2 linked regions of the Lytechinus pictus genome follow. The main gene of each other region encodes a partner of the protein of the gene in region 2 in a complex. Links are inferred from orthologs where the notes say so. Each region holds a gene or a part of one and is shown on either strand. Other genes may lie near its edges.

Evidence for each region.
Region 1: the proteins of symplekin-like (region 2) and RNA polymerase II subunit A C-terminal domain phosphatase SSU72-like are in contact, whole or in part, in a crystal structure (PDB 4YGX), measured with the Drosophila melanogaster proteins. The link is inferred for Lytechinus pictus from reciprocal best matches to the Drosophila melanogaster genes Sym and Ssu72. Residues at the interface, in NP_649580.1 of Drosophila melanogaster: Glu91, Ala117, Lys121, Gln125, Gly128, Ser129, Glu169, Asn170, Asp171, Gly172, Thr175, Asn176, Lys179, Phe180, Arg198, Ser240, Ser241, Val242, Ile245, Ala246, Ser249, Thr281, Ser283, Gln284, Ser286, Ser287, Lys290, Met294, Gln295; in NP_001285455.1 of Drosophila melanogaster: Glu114, Tyr117, Asp118, Val121, Met122, Glu125, Glu128, Ser129, Val130, Asp131, Asn132, Arg133, Pro134, Asp168, Asp170, Asn171, Asp174, Gln178, Glu181, Val187, Ile188, Leu189, His190, Ser191, Val192, Phe194.

What each region holds. Positions count from the first base shown.
Region 1 is NC_087258.1:7,694,636-7,698,562, forward strand, and holds the start of RNA polymerase II subunit A C-terminal domain phosphatase SSU72-like, read right to left. Parts: upstream 2,808-3,927; 5' UTR 2,408-2,807; coding exon 2,337-2,407; intron 293-2,336; coding exon 149-292; intron 1-148.
Region 2 is NC_087251.1:31,992,040-31,995,966, forward strand, and holds the start of symplekin-like, read right to left. Parts: upstream 2,646-3,927; 5' UTR 2,507-2,645; coding exon of another isoform or gene 2,407-2,506; 5' UTR 2,109-2,406; coding exon 2,019-2,108; intron 634-2,018; coding exon 511-633; intron 110-510; coding exon 36-109; intron 1-35. Other genes in the region: glyoxal reductase-like, read left to right, coding at 2,407-2,506. UniProt on the Drosophila melanogaster protein: Component of a protein complex required for cotranscriptional processing of 3'-ends of polyadenylated and histone pre-mRNA. Involved in germline stem cell transit amplification, differentiation and mitosis-to-meiosis transition.

The sequences.
Region 1 (3,927 bases), on a different chromosome or scaffold from region 2:
GCTATTTGCTCAGCATTTGTGATTGAAGAAGGATAACGCTCGACCAACCAATAGACCAAAATTTCAACTGAAGTTGGTACCCTAGGTAATATAGCATCAAAATATTGTTACCATTATCATCATAAATTATTCTATTCATTAAGGATACAAATCACGGTCCTTGCGTTTCAGATCCTGATACATCTCCTCGTATGTCGTCTTGAAGTCATATATGTTGGGCTTGTCTGCAGCCGGACCAGGCAGCTTCACCGTGGCACCGGTTCCATACGACTTCACATTGAAGCCTTTCTTGCTGCAAAGAAGTAAAAAATAGTTAAAAATGGCATTGGGAAACATACAGAAATGGCATATCACATCAGGACATTTCCTAAAATGTACTATGGTGTGAAAATGTACTGCGGAGAAGGCCTGCAATGACACTCAACACCCTTGTTACAAATACAATGCAAAGTATTTTTTTCTTTTTGAGCAAAAATTTACACAGTAATTCAAAACAAGGATAAATGGAAATATTGTTCTATTATCGACTAATTCTATTACTACATTATTGGTCAAAATTGGAAAAAAAAAGTAGATCTAATTAAGTCTTAAATGAAGAGTACACCCTAACAATAAGTTGGTTTTAATATAAGGAAAATTTGAGGAAAAATGTATCAGTAGGTTTAATGAAAGCCCAATCAAGTAAGAGTGGTTGTGATTTTTTTAATTTTAAAGTCATATGCGAGTAGAAATATAATTTCCTTAACTTCTAATGAAATTTGATGAGTGAAAACATATTTCTTATAGAAGGGGTAATATTGATGTGTCTGATATATATCCGCCGCAAAAATAAAATCACTTTCAAATTTGAAGAAAATAACATTTTAAAATTATTCAATTTTTCAATTCTATTCAATTCAAATTTATTTCCACATCTGATTAAAAACACAAGTACAAATTCATATGCAGATAGATATATACAATAAAAAACATTAAAATGAAACATATTCAGTTCGGAATCATAATGTGGTGGGAATTAACAAAGGCCAAAGGCCTATCAGGGTTATTCCCAAAGGTAATAAAATTTACATAAAATGTTTCTTAAATATATACCAAAATATAACACAAAACAATAGAAAAAGAAATAGACACACATGGAATTCAGAAATATAAGTGTAAATGAAATAACAAGAGACAACCAAACATCCGGAACCTCCCACCAAGGCAATATTTTGTTAACTTTATTCTAGGATTCATTTTCAACTAGGTATTTTTTTAGTTTTCTTTAAAACATATTCAAAGTAGGGCATATTTTGATTTCTTGTGGTAATTTGTTCCAAAACTTAGGTCCTGCATAAGAAATGGTAGTTCTTGAGAAATTATAATTTAGCGTTGGTAGATGGAAAAGATTTGATTATGAATCTATATCACATGAGTGTCATGACATACATGTATGGAGGAGCTGCTTGTCTCAAATCAAAACTTTAACCGAAAACTTCATAAATCCTTCACAGATGTTCATCATACTGTTACCAATATTTTTCTCTAATTTTCCTGCATTAAATATTACGGTTATCATAACTAAAATGAACTTCCCCTTTACGATAAAAGCAAACACACACACAAAAGACAACACATCAACTTACAGTTACACTGATCAGCTTTTTGCTTTTCACTCAAGATCGATCTAGACAAATGACTGTGAATAGGAGAGGGTGACTCTGAGTGCTCTTAGTCTTAGCCCAAGCAGCAGCAAGGCCTGTCACTGTCAGAGACAGTTTTCTCCACTGGCACTGATCAATGGAAATCGCACAATGTATTTTTTTACCCCTATTGATCTAACTTTACTTGATGAGTTCCTTAGATCCTCTATAAGTCTGTAGTTAAAAACTGAATGAGTTTGACTTGTTCTCTTGAATTGAAAGATGAATTGAGTCTTGACCAAGTCTGAATTGATCATTAAAAAATACTATAGGCCTAGGCCTATACTATTACTAAATAGGTTAGGCCTACCCATAAATATGGCTATGCCTATGCTTGCCCTTGCCTTACTATAAAAAGTATAAACTTTATTCAAGTCCATAACCCAGGGAGCTATGCCACTGTAGCTAAGGCTGCAGAGCAAAGGCGCCCGACCTCCCTGGGGCTGAGTTATTAATATTAAATTAAACAAAATTAAGGCCCAACAATACGTTAGCCCGCGTTTAATTAGGCCATAGAGGGCCTAGACCATGGAAACAACGTAGATATGGATGAATGGGACCAGACCTGAGCCTGAGGTAGCACACACACACCGCACAAACAATTGCATATGCTCTAAATGTGATAAGCAACATGAATATAGGGTTGAATTGTACCTCAATATGGCATGGGCTTCCATACTCCTGTTTTGATTACTCGAGCACACAACTGCAATTTTTAGAGGCATTTTTCTGACCAGATTTACCGCTATTTATCTTGACAGATAAAGATCGAGAGAGACTGGGTGAGACCACTGTACTGGGTGATGCAGGTGAGACGAGTTGAGTCAAAAGTTTTTGGACAGATTCATTTTCTAAAAATGATGATTTGCCTGGCCTGGGACCTACTTTGAAGGTGCCAGACATCAGCAATTCATCAGTTGGAAGTGTAAAGTCCAAGTGGACAAATTCATATTAATAAAATACCTTATAGTTTCATCGAATCTAGTTCAAACTTTTTATCATTTTTGTTGTCCTTTCTTTGCCTCTATATCCCCCCTAGAATAAAAATGCATTAGACCAAAGCGAAGACCATAGTTGAGAAGACATCTTACTTCAACGTGCTTTCGTAGAACTTTCGAGCGGAGTGCGCGAATTCGCAGAAAAGAATATGCAATTTAGATTGACATAATAGTGGTCATGTTCTCCCACACTCCCCAACACAGAATAAACTTGATTGAAATTGCAAAGAAATTAAAAGTCAACATATCAACTGTGGTAGACCTACCGCAAATTTTTAGGCATTTGGGGTGTATTAGAAAAAAAAATCACCCTAAAATATAAATCTACAACATATACAGTGACTTAGGTTGCAATATAGGCTTCAAAAAATGGTTCAGGAAAGGTTAATTCTGCATCTCTTTTTTTTTTTTGGATAAACGGCGTATCATACACATTTGCGGAAATGCAGTGACGCAAGTGACTATTCTAAATTTCTACCCATATGCAGGCATATTGCTACATTTTAGGGCAAGTCCAAGAAAAGGTCACCCTAGAAGGCAAAATTTCATCTTTAATTTAAGAAGTTATCTTTGGTGGGGTAAGAAAGCCCAAATGTTGAATTTTAAAATTTCATAAAGAAAAATTTGATAATATACATATGTATGCTAATGTGGGGCACCTAATTTGCATAATTGGTAAAATGGGCGTTACGTATGGGACAATTATAAAAACTCATAGAAAATCAAACCAAAACTTGTAAGATTTAGTCATAGGTGGGACATGGACCCCATAACATCTTATTACTTTTTGGGGAAAAAAGTGGTGTCATCTAATTAAATATGCAAATTAGGTCTTGTCCAAGTAGGAAATTGTTATACCACAAAAAGTTTCAAAAATAAAGTTTACTTTTTAATCAAAACTTAATTAAAAAAATGTTACGTATGGGACAACATGTTACGTATGGGACATTTACACACAATGTCAATGGGGAGATTTGTGTACGAAGTGAATGGAGAAAAACCAATTTCAAGAGTGCTCTAAAAAGTGATTATTTACCTTTTCTTTAGTGTTTAAAGACTAATTTGTTATGAATACTGATTGATGAAAACAATCAAAGTGAAAAAACTGTGAAAATGGAACAATATGAAAAAAATAAAAACAATAGAAATACATAAGAAATTCATGAAACCATGAAAAACAAGAAAAAAAATTGTTGAAATGGCTAATTTTCTTTTCAGTCATATCAAATATGTCTCAATAGAACATT
Region 2 (3,927 bases):
TAAAAGTAGAATGAAATCAAATGTAATTTTCTTACCAGGCACATTCTGCAAAGCTGAGTACAAATTTCCTTACTTCTATGGAATCATCAAACTGAAACTGAAGAACTTCCTGCACAGATAAAAAAAAAATCTTTCATTATTTCAGTTTTAACACACAAAGCGTGTCACTATCATCAAGTTTATGTCTACCACTTCCCCTTCCACCTTCATTTTTGCTCCTACCAAGCAAGTATCACATATTCACATGCTATTTATGAAATCATATATACAGACACATAAGAGTATAATTTATTCACCTTTAAAATGACATCATTGTCATGGCAAACCTCTGTTTAGTTAGCCAAGATATATTTCTGGTGAGATGACAAAGCATATGTTATATAACTTCACATAATATAGAAAAAAACTGAAAAAGCCTCACAAAAATGACTTTTTTTTTAAGGTCAAGTTTGAAACACATGGCCGGATAGAAACATTTGGTAATGTTTGGAAAGAACAAAGGAATCTTACATCAAGAAAATTATCAAGTAGAGAAGGATCCTTGTCAATAATAAGTTGCTGGACTTGGGTCAAGTTGTTGATCTTCTGAGAATCCCTGGGTAAAGTGTGGGTTTGTTGCAGCAAGTCAACAACCTGTAGACAAGGGAGAAAAAACACACAAAAACCCCTTTACTCAACATGTACATAATTAATATGTCCAAACATGACAAATAATGTGTCTGGATAAACATAGCAATTTTAAGAAATATATTTAAAAAAAAAATTATAATTCAAAATTATTTAATCATAGTTGTCAACACTGATGGTTGTCAATATATTTGTGGTGGTGATTAAGAATCTAATGAGCATGACTCAATAAGAGTGGTTTCCCAAATTGAAATAGATCTACATGTAGGATGGGGGTTGTGTATCCGGACACTTTAAATCTTTGAAGTCTTGGGGGGGGGGGCTTTGGATTACAAAAAAATATGAATTTAATAGTTTTAAACTTCTTCAGTTTTGTTCTCAATAATATTGCCTAATCGTTTATAGTTAGGCCTACACTTAAAATTGATGAAACTTTTCTTGTTAACTTTCTCAAATGACTGTTTAAAATCAATTGTCCGAACACACAACCTATCGGGACACACACACACCAACTTGGTATACCAGTACATGAAAGAGCACACAAGGCAATATTTTCACTTTTTTAAATCACAGAAGATATAGGCCTAACTGAATGATCATTTGCTTTACATTATGTTTCTTCAGTTACATGTATGTAGCCCTGCAGCGAGAGTGTAGTCAGCGGATTAAATAAGGGGGTTTGATACCTTCCCTTCTCCTTTTTTTCTCCCATATTTTCTCTTGCTTTTGAATTTTGACAATTAGAACGAATCCCAGAACCCTTTCTGGATACACTGGCTTGAAATATAGTCAACCATGACAGGAGTGTTACCCCTTTTGTTTACACAAATAAGAACAAATTAATAAAACAAATTAGGGCCTAGTCTCACTCTCTATAATTATAAACACATAAAAAAGGGGGGGGAGTAACATCTTTACAAATCCAATGTGACAATGTCACAATTGTTTACGACACCATGATGATGATACTAATAATGTAGTGGAGTGACTAGTGTTAGAACGAGGCATCATACATGAGCAATTCATGAAATTGGATTCTAAAGCCAAAAGGGGGAGGCTAGTCTCGAAAGGCTATGTTGAGCGCTAGACACGGCCCATGCCACAGGATCCCTGGCTTTGAAATAGGCCATTTTATCAACATATTTTTTTTTAAATCTGAGTCTTCTGACATGACTCGTTTTGATTGGCCGAGGATCAACAGCTAGTAGTATGACCATGATGACATAGCCTAGGCCCTACGGCATAGTCTACTTTGTTGGATAAACAACCATCAAGTTCTTTAAGACTTTTGTGCTCTCTTGACTTTAGTTTACGTTCCCAAACTGTCCCAAGTTTTCAAACAAAATTGAGACAATGAGACTGATTGAGAATGAGAGAAAAAAAAGATTCACCCGATCGGATACGGTTTGTCCTTCTCCTCCATCATCATCGTCCATAAAAAATTGTGAAGCTACAGATAGCCTACTACTTCCGGCACTCATTTTTACTTTCACACGTACTGCAACAGTGAGATTACAAGAAGAATTACAGAGCAGACAAAATTCAGTTCATTTCACTCCAAACCCAGTGGCCGCCTGCCCTGCCTAGCCTGCGCATATGTATAATGCATGAAATATGCATGTGATGCATGCACAGTATACAGCCGGTATACCGGTATGGTATCTTTAAGAACATTTTCTTTGTAAAACCAACTCGGGGAAATCGCTCGCTTCGAACCTGAACCTCGTCCTCGGCCTTTGCCCATACCAGGAATCTCTTTTCCAGGAAAAAAAGGATCGAATGCAACTACCAGCTGATTTTTCCAGTCCGATTACATCACAACAGTGCATTGGGTGTAGTTTTGAAGCAACAATAATGACAAAACTTCCTATTTTCGGTCGTAAGTGTGGTATCATCGGCGTTAGTGCACTTTCGCATCAGTCACATCGTCCCCGACATCCGACCCAGCGGCAGCCGCGCCGGAAATCGGGCTGTGCCTGTGGAACACTGCTTGGTTTCGTCGGATGGTACGAAAGTGCATTAGCTATCATAATCTTTGGTTTAATAAGGTTTAGATCTCTGAAAAAAATATATATATTCTTTTTAAGTTGACTATATTTAGATCTATATTTTCATAAATTCTAAATGTCAATGAAATAAAAATAACAGTTAAATTGTGATTCAGATCAGGCCTTTCACTTTCAGGGTGACCAGATGATAGATCCGGGGGGGGGGGGGGGGGGGCACTCAGTATATAATGCATAGTGCCGTGGAGGGGACCCCCATTTTTACACTCAAATTTCTGTTCCAGGGCATGACATTTTTATCTTATCAGAGCTACCAAGTCTCAAACATTGTGCGTGAGACTCGCGCATCGAGGGTCCGTCTCACGCATGGCACCCATTTTTCTCACGCATCGGGACCCGACAGAAAAAGCCTTCGCATGCCGTCGCGTCTACCCCGGCACGTGAGACGAATCGAGAGTGCAGTCAGCGCACAGCTAGTACGTGATACGATGAATCGCGTGCGTGCATCGCATGGTTTTGTAGTATGGATCAATATCGTGATAAAGCCCATATCTCGCGAGTTGCGCGCGTGCCTTTTCGAAACGTACAAGTGTAAGTACTGGCTGCGCGCGTGCAGAGTCGCCGAGTCATGAAAATCTCACTTATAACATTTTTTTAAACTTGGCATCTCTGTCTTATTGAGAAAAAAAACTAAGAAAGTCGCTCCGAAGCGTAGCATTTTCTTCTTATCGAGAGAAAAGAAGAAAGAAATCCGCTCCAAAGCTTCGCATATTTTTTGTTACGCTGTTCCAGTAGCATTGATCCGCCACAATGAGCTGCAATTTTGGTGAAAAGCAGCCGCAGAGCGCTGTCCGACCATCGCCTCTGCGCGATCGCACCCGGCGGGCTGGGCTAGCTGCATACACGTATGCCTGTTCCAAAGGGATGCACACGCAGGCGACCCCAGGGTGACCAATTTTCACAAAATGAAATACGGGACAATCGACAAAGCACGCTGCACGAGCTGAATGACAGAACTAGGCCTTAATTTTTAAAACAGATCAACAGAGAAGGCTACACGATGTTAGACTTGTGAAAAAATGTAAAGAATTGGAAGGGAGGGTGGACGAAAGAATGAAGGAGAGAAAGAAAAGGGATGAATTGAGAAGATAGAAAGAAAACGAAGGGGAAAATGAAGAAAATAAGAAAAAAATAAAAGGATGAAAGAAAGGATATAGTAGAGAAAAAAGGTTTCCCTCATTCTTTGAAATGAATATAAAAAGAAAGGAAGGGAAGATGAATAAATATGTGAAAG